Linked DNA regions of Arabidopsis thaliana. The protein of the gene in region 2 interacts with the protein of the main gene of each other region in a pairwise test. Each region holds a gene or a part of one and is shown on either strand. Other genes may lie near its edges.

Region 1 (6,014 bases), on a different chromosome or scaffold from region 2:
TTTACTTGTACAGTATATCTTGTTTCAAATTTTTGCACTATACATATAGATATAAATCATCTAATAGAGTGTTCTCTTTTGTTGATTGTTTCAGCTTTGGGACATGAGAACGCTGACTCTTCTTAAGACTTACACCACTGTGGTGCCCGTAAATGCTGTCTCCCTGTCTCCACTTCTCAACCATGTATGCACTAATGCTTCATGAAATTCAATTTCGAATCCCAGAATCAGCAAGGCATGATGTTATCTTTGTGAATGTTTCTGCTCTCTCTTTTAGGTTGTACTTGGAGGTGGTCAAGATGCATCAGCTGTGACTACCACTGATCATCGTGCTGGAAAGTTTGAAGCTAAGTTTTACGACAAGGTTAGTGTTTATAATAAGAGTGTTTTACTTGGAAACATGTAACCTGGAAAATACACATATTTAAATAACCGTGTATCATTGTGTTTGGTATAATATATAGATTCTGCAAGAGGAAATTGGTGGTGTGAAAGGTCATTTTGGACCTATAAATGCTTTGGCATTCAATCCTGATGGGAAGAGGTAAATTAACAACATTTGGATTTTGATTGATTGACACAATCCTCACATGATGAGGTTTTGAGTGTGTGTTTTGGCTCTCTCACTGAGTTTGTGGAATGTATATTTCAGTTTCTCTAGTGGAGGTGAAGACGGTTACGTGAGGCTGCATCATTTTGACTCCGACTACTTCAACATCAAGATTTAGATTCCGACTACTTGAACGTCAACCTTTTAGAATCTTTGAAAAAGTCTCCCATTCCGGATTTTGTTTTCTCTCTCTTTTAACATTTTCATGTTTTTATTTACTACCAATACAAATACCTTGATGATAAAGCTTTTGAATTTTGACAGAATCTTTAGTTTTCATTTCCAGAGTTCTCAGTACAAGTTAATTAACCTGCTCTATGTGTGAGCGAGCATTAATATTCAGCTTTTATAAAATAAACTCGGTTGTAGAAAAGAATGCCTTGTGTGATTGACAGTCCTCAAGAGTAGCGAAGAAAATCACCCAAAGACAGACTCATAATGTTTGTGATATTCGTGATGATTATTGGATCTATAAATTTTCGGAGAGAGATGTATGAAACCTGAAAAGAAAGATCCTTTATGCATGAAACCTTGACAAAAGAAACAAAAGCTTACGCAAAGCAATAACACCGATTTCATAAAATTACATCAGGTCTAAAACAAGGAAATGCAACAAAGGAAGCCATTTTATAAAAAAAGAAAAGCCTCTCTATATTAACAGTAACAAACCATAACACCAAATTTTCATCTGGAGGAAAAGTTTCTCTTTCTCCCTCTCTCTCTCCGAAAATTTATAGATCAATAATCATCACACCTCTCTCTCTCTCTCTCTCTCTACTATACTATCTATCAAGTTTTTCTGAAATTAGTAGCACTTATTTTCTTTGTTTATGTCGACAAATTAAGTAGAAATCGACATGAATTACCATCGATCAGCCTGCAGCTACTGCTTTAGCTCGAGGCTTCGTATCGAGCAGTTGATGCAATTTGCTTGTAGAGTTAGAATCATTGTCTCCTTGGTTCTTGTTCTTATCTCCAGCTCCTGAGTTCTTAACTCTAGACAACATATTTGCGGGGACTCTCTTTTCGGGTTCCGAGCATTTCAGTTTGTCCTGCAACCCAAAAAGAACCGGCCATGTTCAAGAAAATGACACGCCTTCATAAAGATAATTTGTTGGTTAATGATAGCTTACTTACCAACAAGGTTGCATTTGCTCCTCTTAGTTTATCAGATTTCTCATTAAGTTGGTTTAGTTCAGATCTTAATGCCATGTTTTCGGCTGTCAAGGCTTCCACTTTCCTAGCAAGTTCTTCTGTCTCGGCCTTCAAAACAAGGAAAGACAGTTTGTTAGTTTATTAAATGTTTTGGTGAGAGTTACACACTAAGAGAAAGAATTTCTAAAGAGCTTCAGTGTATTCTTTCAGTAACCAAACCTGTTTCCTTAATCTTGACCTTCTAGCAGATTCTCTATTAGACTGTTTCCTTCGCTCCCGTTTCAGTTCTCTCTCGTTCTGAAGACAAAATTTAATACTTGGTCAGGGAAACGGATCAGATTAGCTCGAAAATCCAACAAGTGGAAGTTGAGAATAAGTCACAGGGTACCTGAAGCCAAGTTTCAGGAGGAACCATGGCTAAAGATTGTGACATGAAGGGGTTGGAATTTGCACTTACACCAGGAGAGAGTATAGCTCCAGATCCTTGAATGAGTTTTACGCCGGTATCACCACTTGACGGAGAAACAGAATGAAATGAGCTAGCTTGAACCAATTGTTTCCCATCTGCCAAAAAAACCGAATTAAAACTCCCATTATATCTAATATTTACACTGATTCTAACTCTTTGGGACATGAATAAGGCTATATACCTTTTGTTGGAGTTCCCTCTCGACTTCTTTTAAGTTTCGGTTCATCTGCCTGGAAACATGCAATAAGTGAGGTTCTAGACTTTAGACAATCATATGAAAACTAAAGATAGCTGAGAGTAAGAGAAGAGAAACATTACCCCAGTTGTATTCCCATCACTTCCATCAGTAGAACCATCAGTTTCTGAGCTGTTCCGTGATCGTTTATGTTCATCTGCACCATTTTCAGGATTCCCATTTCCTAGAGACATAGCAAGCCCATCAAACTCTTTCAGCTTCTTCATCAATCCATTGTCTGTGTTCCCTGTAGATTTAGTAGGAGTGTCGATGCTCAAAAGCGTCCCCGGCTGCGATAAAGAAGAACTATCCATTAAACAGCGAACAAAACCATTTCTCAATCTTTGATGTATCAAACTAGGTATACAACTTACAGTTGTTAAAGGTGGATCCTTTTGACCTTGAGGCAGTGATCCCTGTCCACAGAAACTCAAAGCCAAGTCAGATAAACGATCACGGAGGATTCAACTACGAGATGTTTGAGGAACAGAATTACTATATACCATGGGAATACCGGGATGAGCGTAAACTCCTCCTCCATGAGGATAAACAGCAGCATAGGGTGCTCCATATGGTGACATCATATGCTGAAAGGGATTTAAGACCAACAAAACACCAATGAAACGTCTTCCTAATCTTTACCATATTAGCACAAGATGATTCGTGTTTGTGTTTAGTACCTGAGGATTCCACATGTAAGGAGGAGGAGGATGACCAGATGCAGCCATAGCTGAATTGTAATAAGGAGGCATTGCTACTCTTGGACCATAATATGCCTAGCAGCAACACATCATGAAAATCATTATTAATCATGGTATTACTAGTACATAACTGGAGCGTAATAAAAAAAAGACTAACCTGCATAGCTGCCCAATCAGGGTAGACATGAACATTTGTTTGATCCTATCAACAAGAGTCAAGTCAACGCATAAGGAATTTAAGAAAAACTAAATTGACTTTGGAATTATGGTTTGAAACTGTTCAACATACCACCGGGGGTGAAGATGGTTTATCTGATTTGGTAGGAGGCTTTGGTTCCTCGCTGCTATTTCCCATAGGAATGGTTTCAAGGTTTCCCACTCAAGAGAACAATGACTCTTTCTGCAAAATCATGGGGATGGGTGTTGTTGTGTGAGAAATATAGAGACAGAGAAGGGTAAAATAGTATTTCTCTCTCACATCCTATGTTCAGAAAACTTTCAGGAAGACAAAAGGAATCAACAAAGTAGACACTACTGGACAATTCTACCCCTGAAACAATCACATGCACCCAAAAAAAGAAACTCTGTTCTTCTCTACGCTTTAGCTGTTTTTGTTCAAATTCAAAACTTATAATTTTTCATTCAATTCAAGTAAATGCAAAAGCAAACGATCAAAAATGGCAAAATTTTCACAAAACTTAGAAGATCAATGAATGATAGAGAAACCAAATCACAAAACTATTCGACCAAACAATCTCTATTTGAACCATTTAAGTTACGCAATACCTACAAGAATCCGAAAGCTCCTTGAAGAAGAAACGTAAGCAGAAGATGAAGAAGAAGAAGCTTAAACAGAGAGAAACCCAGAAATTTAAATCGCGAATTCGAAACCTAAACAGCAATTAAACGCATTTTCATCTTTCTCTCTCTCTAAAAAAACCAGAGCGAAAAAGAGTTCAGTTTTTTTTTTTGAGGGAAGGGAGACGCGAGAGAGAGAGAAAAAAAACGGAGCGCCAAGACGATGACCACGTCATCAGACACGTGTCATGAGAATATATAACAGCGTAAACTACGGTGGTGTTTGATGAGTTGGCTCATCGAGTTTAGTGCCAGCCATTTCTTATGTCATCTCTACCGTACACGTGTTCGATTTCTAGTCGCTCTACGCTTCCCTCATGTTTAGATTATTTTTATAGTCGATATTTACCATAGTGTATAATCCTCTTCAAAATCCGTCATCACATTCACACGTCAGTGAAGTCATGTGCAACATAAAAATAAGAAAACTAAACAATCTTTCCAACGAATTTTCAGAATCATTATTTTTGTATGGCATGAAAATAAACACAATTTAACTTTTGCTACTTACCGATGGGCATATTTGTTTATTATATAGAATATTGCTTCGAATAATTTGGATACATGATAAAAATTTGATTAGAAAGAAGGGACATTATGGTAAAATACGAAGGAAGAAAAGACCTTTGACTAGTAGTATCTCCGACGCGGAGAGCACTTCTGTCGACAAAACTAAAGATCCGAACCGTCCATTATTCACTACCGATTCGTATCTTCCAAAGGTGCCACGAGACGACCCACGTGTATGGCCACGTTTTTGCCATCATGGAATCACCATAAAAGGAAAAATAAAAAATACTTTTTTAGTTTATTTTCTTTCATTATTATGAAAACAAAACAATAAAGAAAAGGCCCACAAGCCCGACAACTGCTTCGAATCCAACGGCTGGGATAAACAAATGATCCAACGGTATAAACTAAGCCACGCCAGTAGATAGTTATTGGCATTTAGAGGCTAAAGGGCCAACGAGGCTTTTTTTTTTTGCGTTGGCGTAAAAGAGCTTCTATCCACGAAGTGGTCCCTACATTACAAAATGCGACTCACATGGATGTATCTACGTGTCGGTTATCCATTGGGTGATGTAGTAAATATTGTCTGGGCTCTCTATTTTTGTTTATTTTTATTTTGTGTACTGTAGAAAGAAATCAGAGAGCATAATACTAGTACTAGTATTATTCAACTTAGGTTTTCGGTGACGTAAGCAAAGGTACAGACCACATCAGCTTTGAATATAGACCGTTGATCTCGGTTTCTCGATTAGAAAAAAATCGACGGTTAAGCTGCAATAAAAACGTGTGTTTTATATAACTTCGAATCATCTGACGTGGCCATCAATATTTTGTAGTGGAAAAAAAAAGTGGGGTCGATAAGTCAGAAAAGGAGATTAATCATCCAACGGCTCAAACGTGTCCCGACAAAATGACGTGTCCGTCTGGTAAGCGGATAGTCTTACTTACGCATTTATGTGGGCCCCATGTGACGAGGACTCAATTCCTCTATCCTCATTTCCTAAATTATCCTTGTCACTTCATTCTATTTCCTCGATGTACCATTGCTATAGCCGCATTGTTTGAACTTTGAATATAAAAGCCTAATGTTCACACTATAGGCAATTTAGCTTCATCATTACGCATCGTAGTAGGCCTTGAGCCCATATTTTAAGACTAACCTCAAAAGCTAGGCCCAAATTCTATCTTGGACTATTTATAAAGACCCATATAGAAAAGTAAAAAAATCCAATCAAAGAATTTACAGAATGAGGTACTCTTTAAGCCATACTTTTGCTCCTTAGGCAATTATTGTACAAAGGACACTCGTGGTTAGAGCTGCTACATAACGAGATTATACAACTTAAATGTGACGACATAGAGAGAGAGAGAGAAGAAAACAGTCAGTGCAGGTCTGAGGAACGTTTAATGGTGAGCTCGGCTCTGAGATGGAGAATGCCATTGATGAAATGTTGACTGTCCTCGGCTATGAACGAA
Region 2 (5,079 bases):
TGAAATCTTATCCGGAAGCCCATCAAAAGAGTTTTGTTGTCGGGAAACTTGCGTGAAATGCATCAAAGGTATGTCGCCATGTCGATTCTTCAAATTTCTTATCATAGTTAAAAGTTTTGGTGTTAGATCAACTGTTAATTTTTTGTTTCCTATTAAGGTCCTGATGACTCTGAAGGCACGGTGGTGACTGGAGTTGTGGTGCGTGATGGGAATGAACAAAAGGTTGATCTGTTAGTGCCATCGACGCAAACTGAGTGTGAATGTGGTCCTGAAGCAACTTATCCAGCAGGAAACGATGTGTTCACTGCACTTCTATTGGCTTTACCTCCACAGACATGGTCAGGGATCAAAGACCAAGCTCTTATGCATGAAATGAAGCAGCTCATTTCCATGGCTTCCCTCCCAACTTTGCTTCAAGAAGAGGTAACGCTTTTACCAATTCTATTTATCGGTAATCATCAAGAGTCACGGTTCTCTCTCTAGTGGAAAATGGGATCTTTGTACTTGAGATATATAAGTCTTTTGGAAAAGAAACAAATAACTTAATCTAAGTTGAGATTGACAATGACTATTTTCGAGTTCATCCTTAGATATAGCTAAATCAAATGCCGAATCTAAATGAGTACTTGGTGAAATGAATCTGTGAAGCAGATGAGTAACGTGGTGAATTTGGTGTAAATGCAGGTATTGCATCTTCGACGGCAACTTCAGCTGCTAAAACGATGCCAAGAGAACAAGGAAGAGGATGATCTCGCTGCTCCTGCCTATTAGTTCATTGTCCCAAATCCTCTCTCTTCCCCATTTGAATCCCACGTTCTCAACACTTAATTGTTAGAAAGTCTCTTTATTCTCTGTACGATTCAAACTCTATTTGCAATGAGAGATATATGTAACTTGCATTCTATAAATTGTTAATCACAATAAGTTAAGAATCCTAGAATCATATTTCATCACACTCAAATGCAGATTATGAATCCACTATCCACAAATAAGTACCAAAGGCTTACATTCAAAACAACAGTATCCCTTAGTCCCAACTGTGTACACTGTTTTGCTAAGGATCATTCGTATTAGACAGTCAAATTTTGAATCCGGATTCTAACAGATCCTATTGCAGACTGGATCTGGTCACTTTTTCACCGATCAGTGGCTATAAATACTGACAGAGATATGGTTTTGATTCTTAGAAAATCTCTTTATTCTATGTATGATTCAGAGAGATTTTCAAATCTCATTCTCCTACTTAAATGTTCATTGTGGCCATCAATATCTTCACTTGACTTGATTATCTAATCTCTGGTCACAGCGAGATGCAGTGACACAAGTGCATGGAACTGTAACTGTTGGAGCACGTCAGAAAGTTCTTAACTTCAGGAGCTCTTATCTTATCTGGAAGCTCATCGAAAGACTTCTATTGTCGAGATAGTTCTGTTAAATGCATTGATGCCTGGGGTTGAGGAAGCTAAAGTGACAGCAGGGATGGTAGTTAATACCAATAATGAACAAGAGGTTGGCCTATTGGTGCCGTCAACCCAATCTGTCACCAAAGGTTCTGAGTATGGTCCAGAAGCAAAGTACATAGCAGGAAACGATGTCATCACTGCACTTCTGTTCGCTTTACCTCCACAGACATGGATAAGGACCAAAATCCAGATCTTTCAGAACAAAATGAAGAATCTCGTTTCCATTGGTACCCTCTTCACTATGATCAGCCTAAATAAGATCAATCTCAGCAAAACCAATAACATATGCAATCTAATATAATATATAAGTTATTAACCATAATCATTACACTCTACTGCAGATTATGAATCAACTCTCACACACACATACACAAAGTAAGTAACATTAAGACCCTAAAATCCTCAAAAGTCTATACCTCTTATCACCATTCCAAAGACCGAATCCTGCGTAAAAACCGTGGTGGCTGCTGCTTCGGTTTCTCAACAACAGGAATCACAAACTCCATCAACTTCTGGTATCTCTCTTTCCTCTTATCTTCAATCTCCTTAGAAAGCAACTCATTCTCTTCCTCAAGCTTCGCAGCCAAAGCTTCTAACTCAACTTGATAAGCTTGTTTCCTCTCTCTAGACCTAGCTGCAGATTCACGATTCTTAATCATCCTTCTCTGTCTCTGTGCAGCTGCTTTATCCAATGGCTCAACCATCACTCTCGCTCTCTTCCCTCTAGCTCCTCCTCCGTAAACATCTAAACCATTCCCAAACGCAACTATTGATCCTTCTACTTTATCAATCATCTGAAACGGATTATGCGGCGGTGCAGAATGATCGAATCCGTAATTCGTCACCGGAATCTTCACATCCAAATCCTCCGCCGACGCCGTCACCGCTGTTTCGTCTTCCACCGCAGCTTTCGCTAGAAAATCCTCTAACGTCATTATCTCTTCCGACGTCTCTTCCTTCATCCCTTTACCTTCTCCTGATACCATCTCTCTCCAAATCTCATCAACACTCTTCCCACCACGCGTCGTCTCCGTTCCTCCGCCGTGATCCACAACATCAGAAGCCGTCGTTGTTGTTATCTCCATTGGTGCTGGAGAAGCATCCATCAGATTTATCGACGCATCTAAGAGTGAAGATTCCGTTGGTGCTGGTGGATCTGATGCGAAAGTATCGTGTAAAATCCCTTCGACCGTCATCGAATTTGAACTGTATAATCCGTCGTTTCTTCCGCCGTAACCGACACTTGTTAGATCTCGCCGGAACTGTTGTTGAGGTCTTATAGACGAAGAAGAAGTAGAAGCAGAAGAGATGCGACGAGATAGATCCGAGTTTCTCGAATTTGAAGAACGCATCACCTGAAACGACGTCATTTCTGGAGAAGATGATGAACAAGTTCCGTTTGTTTCGTCCTCTTTCGCCGGAATCGGATCAGAGAATCACTCTGTTTCTTTGACTCCGCCAAATGTTGAACTTTACAGAAGCAGAGATTAGGGCTTTTTGTGTCGAATTGAGAACCTTTGAGAACTTTTGGTAATTTATCCCAAATTGTAATTAATTGACTTTTATTACTTTTTTAAAATACCACGCGCATATGTGGCACGTGAGTTTTAATTTTTAGACTTACCAAAGAAAAGAGCTGATTTTGGTAAATTGGATAAGGTTAAAATCAAAATGGATAAGATTTTCTAACTTTTGGAGCGCGTGGGAAGTTTTGTCGCGTGTCATCAAACTGTAGTTGTCAAACTTGCATCAATTATTTCAAGATCATTAATGTATTATAACTTGACTATTATTACTTGAATTTAGTTAAGGTAATTTAATGACGTTATTTTAACTCGATGGTAGTTGTTTTTAGAGAATATTACACTGTAAGATATTTTTTAAAAAACATTTTTATGGTTAGACACTTTTTAAAGATAAAGCATTTTGAATAGATGATTTGACTCATTTATCGTCTAATCACATATCGTTTTATCTCTCTCCTTCTCTTATTTATTCTCTCTTTTTCTTTTACTTTATCGAGAAATAAACAAAAATCAAGCCAAAAAATAGATTTCTTCCTTTTTCCTTCTTCCATCTTCAACAAATCATCCGCTTTTATGAGAAAGAGAGATTGAAATTCAGCTTTTTAAATTTTCCACATCTGCTTTGATCTGACTTGAAGGAGAATTTTTTCAAACCATCAATTTGAGAATCTGCCCGATCTGGCTGATTTAGTTACATGACTCGTTGAATAATTGAATTGGATTTGCGGTTTGGTTTTTGTTTTATGTTTTTGTTATTTGTTGCAAAATTAATCTGATTACTTGCTCTTTAATTCTTTGTCTTTCTTCTCCAATTTCATATTCGAGATTATTCTCTTAAATTGGAGATTAAAGCCTCGCAGTGGACTTCGAATTATTTGATAGCAATTGTCGAATCACTAATTGATGGAACTCGTTGCTTAGTCCATGTTCTGTGAATTTGATTCATGATTATATTTGAGTTGTATATATTCAGAAAATCTGGTTATCTTATGTGTTCATCATAAACGGTTTATAAGTTTTTTGATGGTTGATTCACTTATTGAAGAACCTTGTTGCTAGTTCTGGTTCTGTGAAATTGATGGAGATTTTAGCTTAGATCTGAGACTAATTTTCATTCACAGATGTTAGACTGATTTCTACGTTTGTGTTTAAGATATAGATGTTAAAAATTTGGAGCAAAATCGAGAAGATCATCTTAACAGAGTTAAATGAACAGATCTCTGTGGATAACGATTTCTGGACACGTTATTCTTTACTTTTTTATCTCAAAATCCAATCGAGAAGATCACCTTAACAGAGCTAAATGAACAGACCTCTGTGGACAGCGATTTCTGGACACGTTCTTCTTTACCTTTTTATCTCAAAATCCAATCGAGAAAATCATCTTAACAGAGTTAAATGGACATACCTATGTGGACAACGACTTCTGGACACGTTTTTCCCTTGAATTTGTGATCATTTATGTTATATCTTGAGATGTTCTGTATATAAAATCAAACTTGGACTTGTATTTTAAAACCTTAAAATCCAATCGAGAAGATCATCTTAACAGAGTTAAATGAACAAACCTCTGTGGACAGCGATTTCTGGACACGTACTTCTTTACTCTTTTATCTCAGTTTACTTGAACTTATCTCTAAGTTTTTTGCTATCAAATTCTATGGCTTTTGAAAAGGAATGACCCTGTTCTTTTTGTAATCGATACGTCAGCGATCGGCGACTGATTTTTTTTTAACTTACTTGCGTGTAATGTATGTAGAGACTAACAGGGGCGGACGCAAGTGTATGAGTACTGGGGCACGTGCCCCATGCAAGATTTGATAATTTTGAAGTTTGATGTGCAATTTGTATTGGAGATGAAAGAATTCGTTTGTTGTGCCCCATGTTATAGTGATTTTTTTTCTAATCAGTTGGTTATTACTCATTATTTTTACTATTTTCAAGTAATAAATGTTTTCAGTATTTAACTTATTTTTCCAAATTTATCTTTTTCTATAACTCTTTGAAAGAATTATGCTAATACAAGGACACTTCAATTTTTTCTTTTTCCATTTACATGTCTTTTAAAAAATGTTTATATTGTATTTTAT

The links. The genes of interacting proteins can lie anywhere in the genome.
Region 1: the proteins of AT5G44080 (region 2) and GBF3 interact in a two-hybrid assay, tested with the Arabidopsis thaliana proteins (one large-scale study listed by BioGRID).

What each region holds. Positions count from the first base shown.
Region 1 is NC_003071.7:18,998,370-19,004,383, reverse strand, and holds GBF3 (G-box binding factor 3), read right to left. Parts: upstream 4,205-6,014; 5' UTR 3,957-4,204; intron 3,571-3,956; 5' UTR 3,526-3,570; coding exon 3,460-3,525; intron 3,373-3,459; coding exon 3,328-3,372; intron 3,246-3,327; coding exon 3,150-3,245; intron 3,057-3,149; coding exon 2,973-3,056; intron 2,886-2,972; coding exon 2,844-2,885; intron 2,760-2,843; coding exon 2,553-2,759; intron 2,465-2,552; coding exon 2,416-2,464; intron 2,330-2,415; coding exon 2,154-2,329; intron 2,063-2,153; coding exon 1,985-2,062; intron 1,874-1,984; coding exon 1,748-1,873; intron 1,663-1,747; coding exon 1,483-1,662; 3' UTR 981-1,482; downstream 1-980. Other genes in the region: TRIP-1 (TGF-beta receptor interacting protein 1), read left to right, coding at 95-184, 278-364, 465-544, 653-728; LRB1 (BTB/POZ/Kelch-associated protein), read right to left, coding at 5,921-6,014. UniProt on the Arabidopsis thaliana protein: Binds to the G-box motif (5'-CCACGTGG-3') of the rbcS-1A gene promoter. G-box and G-box-like motifs are cis-acting elements defined in promoters of certain plant genes which are regulated by such diverse stimuli as light-induction or hormone control.
Region 2 is NC_003076.8:17,736,902-17,741,980, forward strand, and holds AT5G44080 (Basic-leucine zipper (bZIP) transcription factor family protein), read right to left. Parts: upstream 3,049-5,079; 5' UTR 2,834-3,048; coding exon 1,886-2,833; 3' UTR 973-1,885; downstream 1-972. Other genes in the region: CAD1 (phytochelatin synthase 1 (PCS1)), read left to right, coding at 1-68, 158-423, 685-771.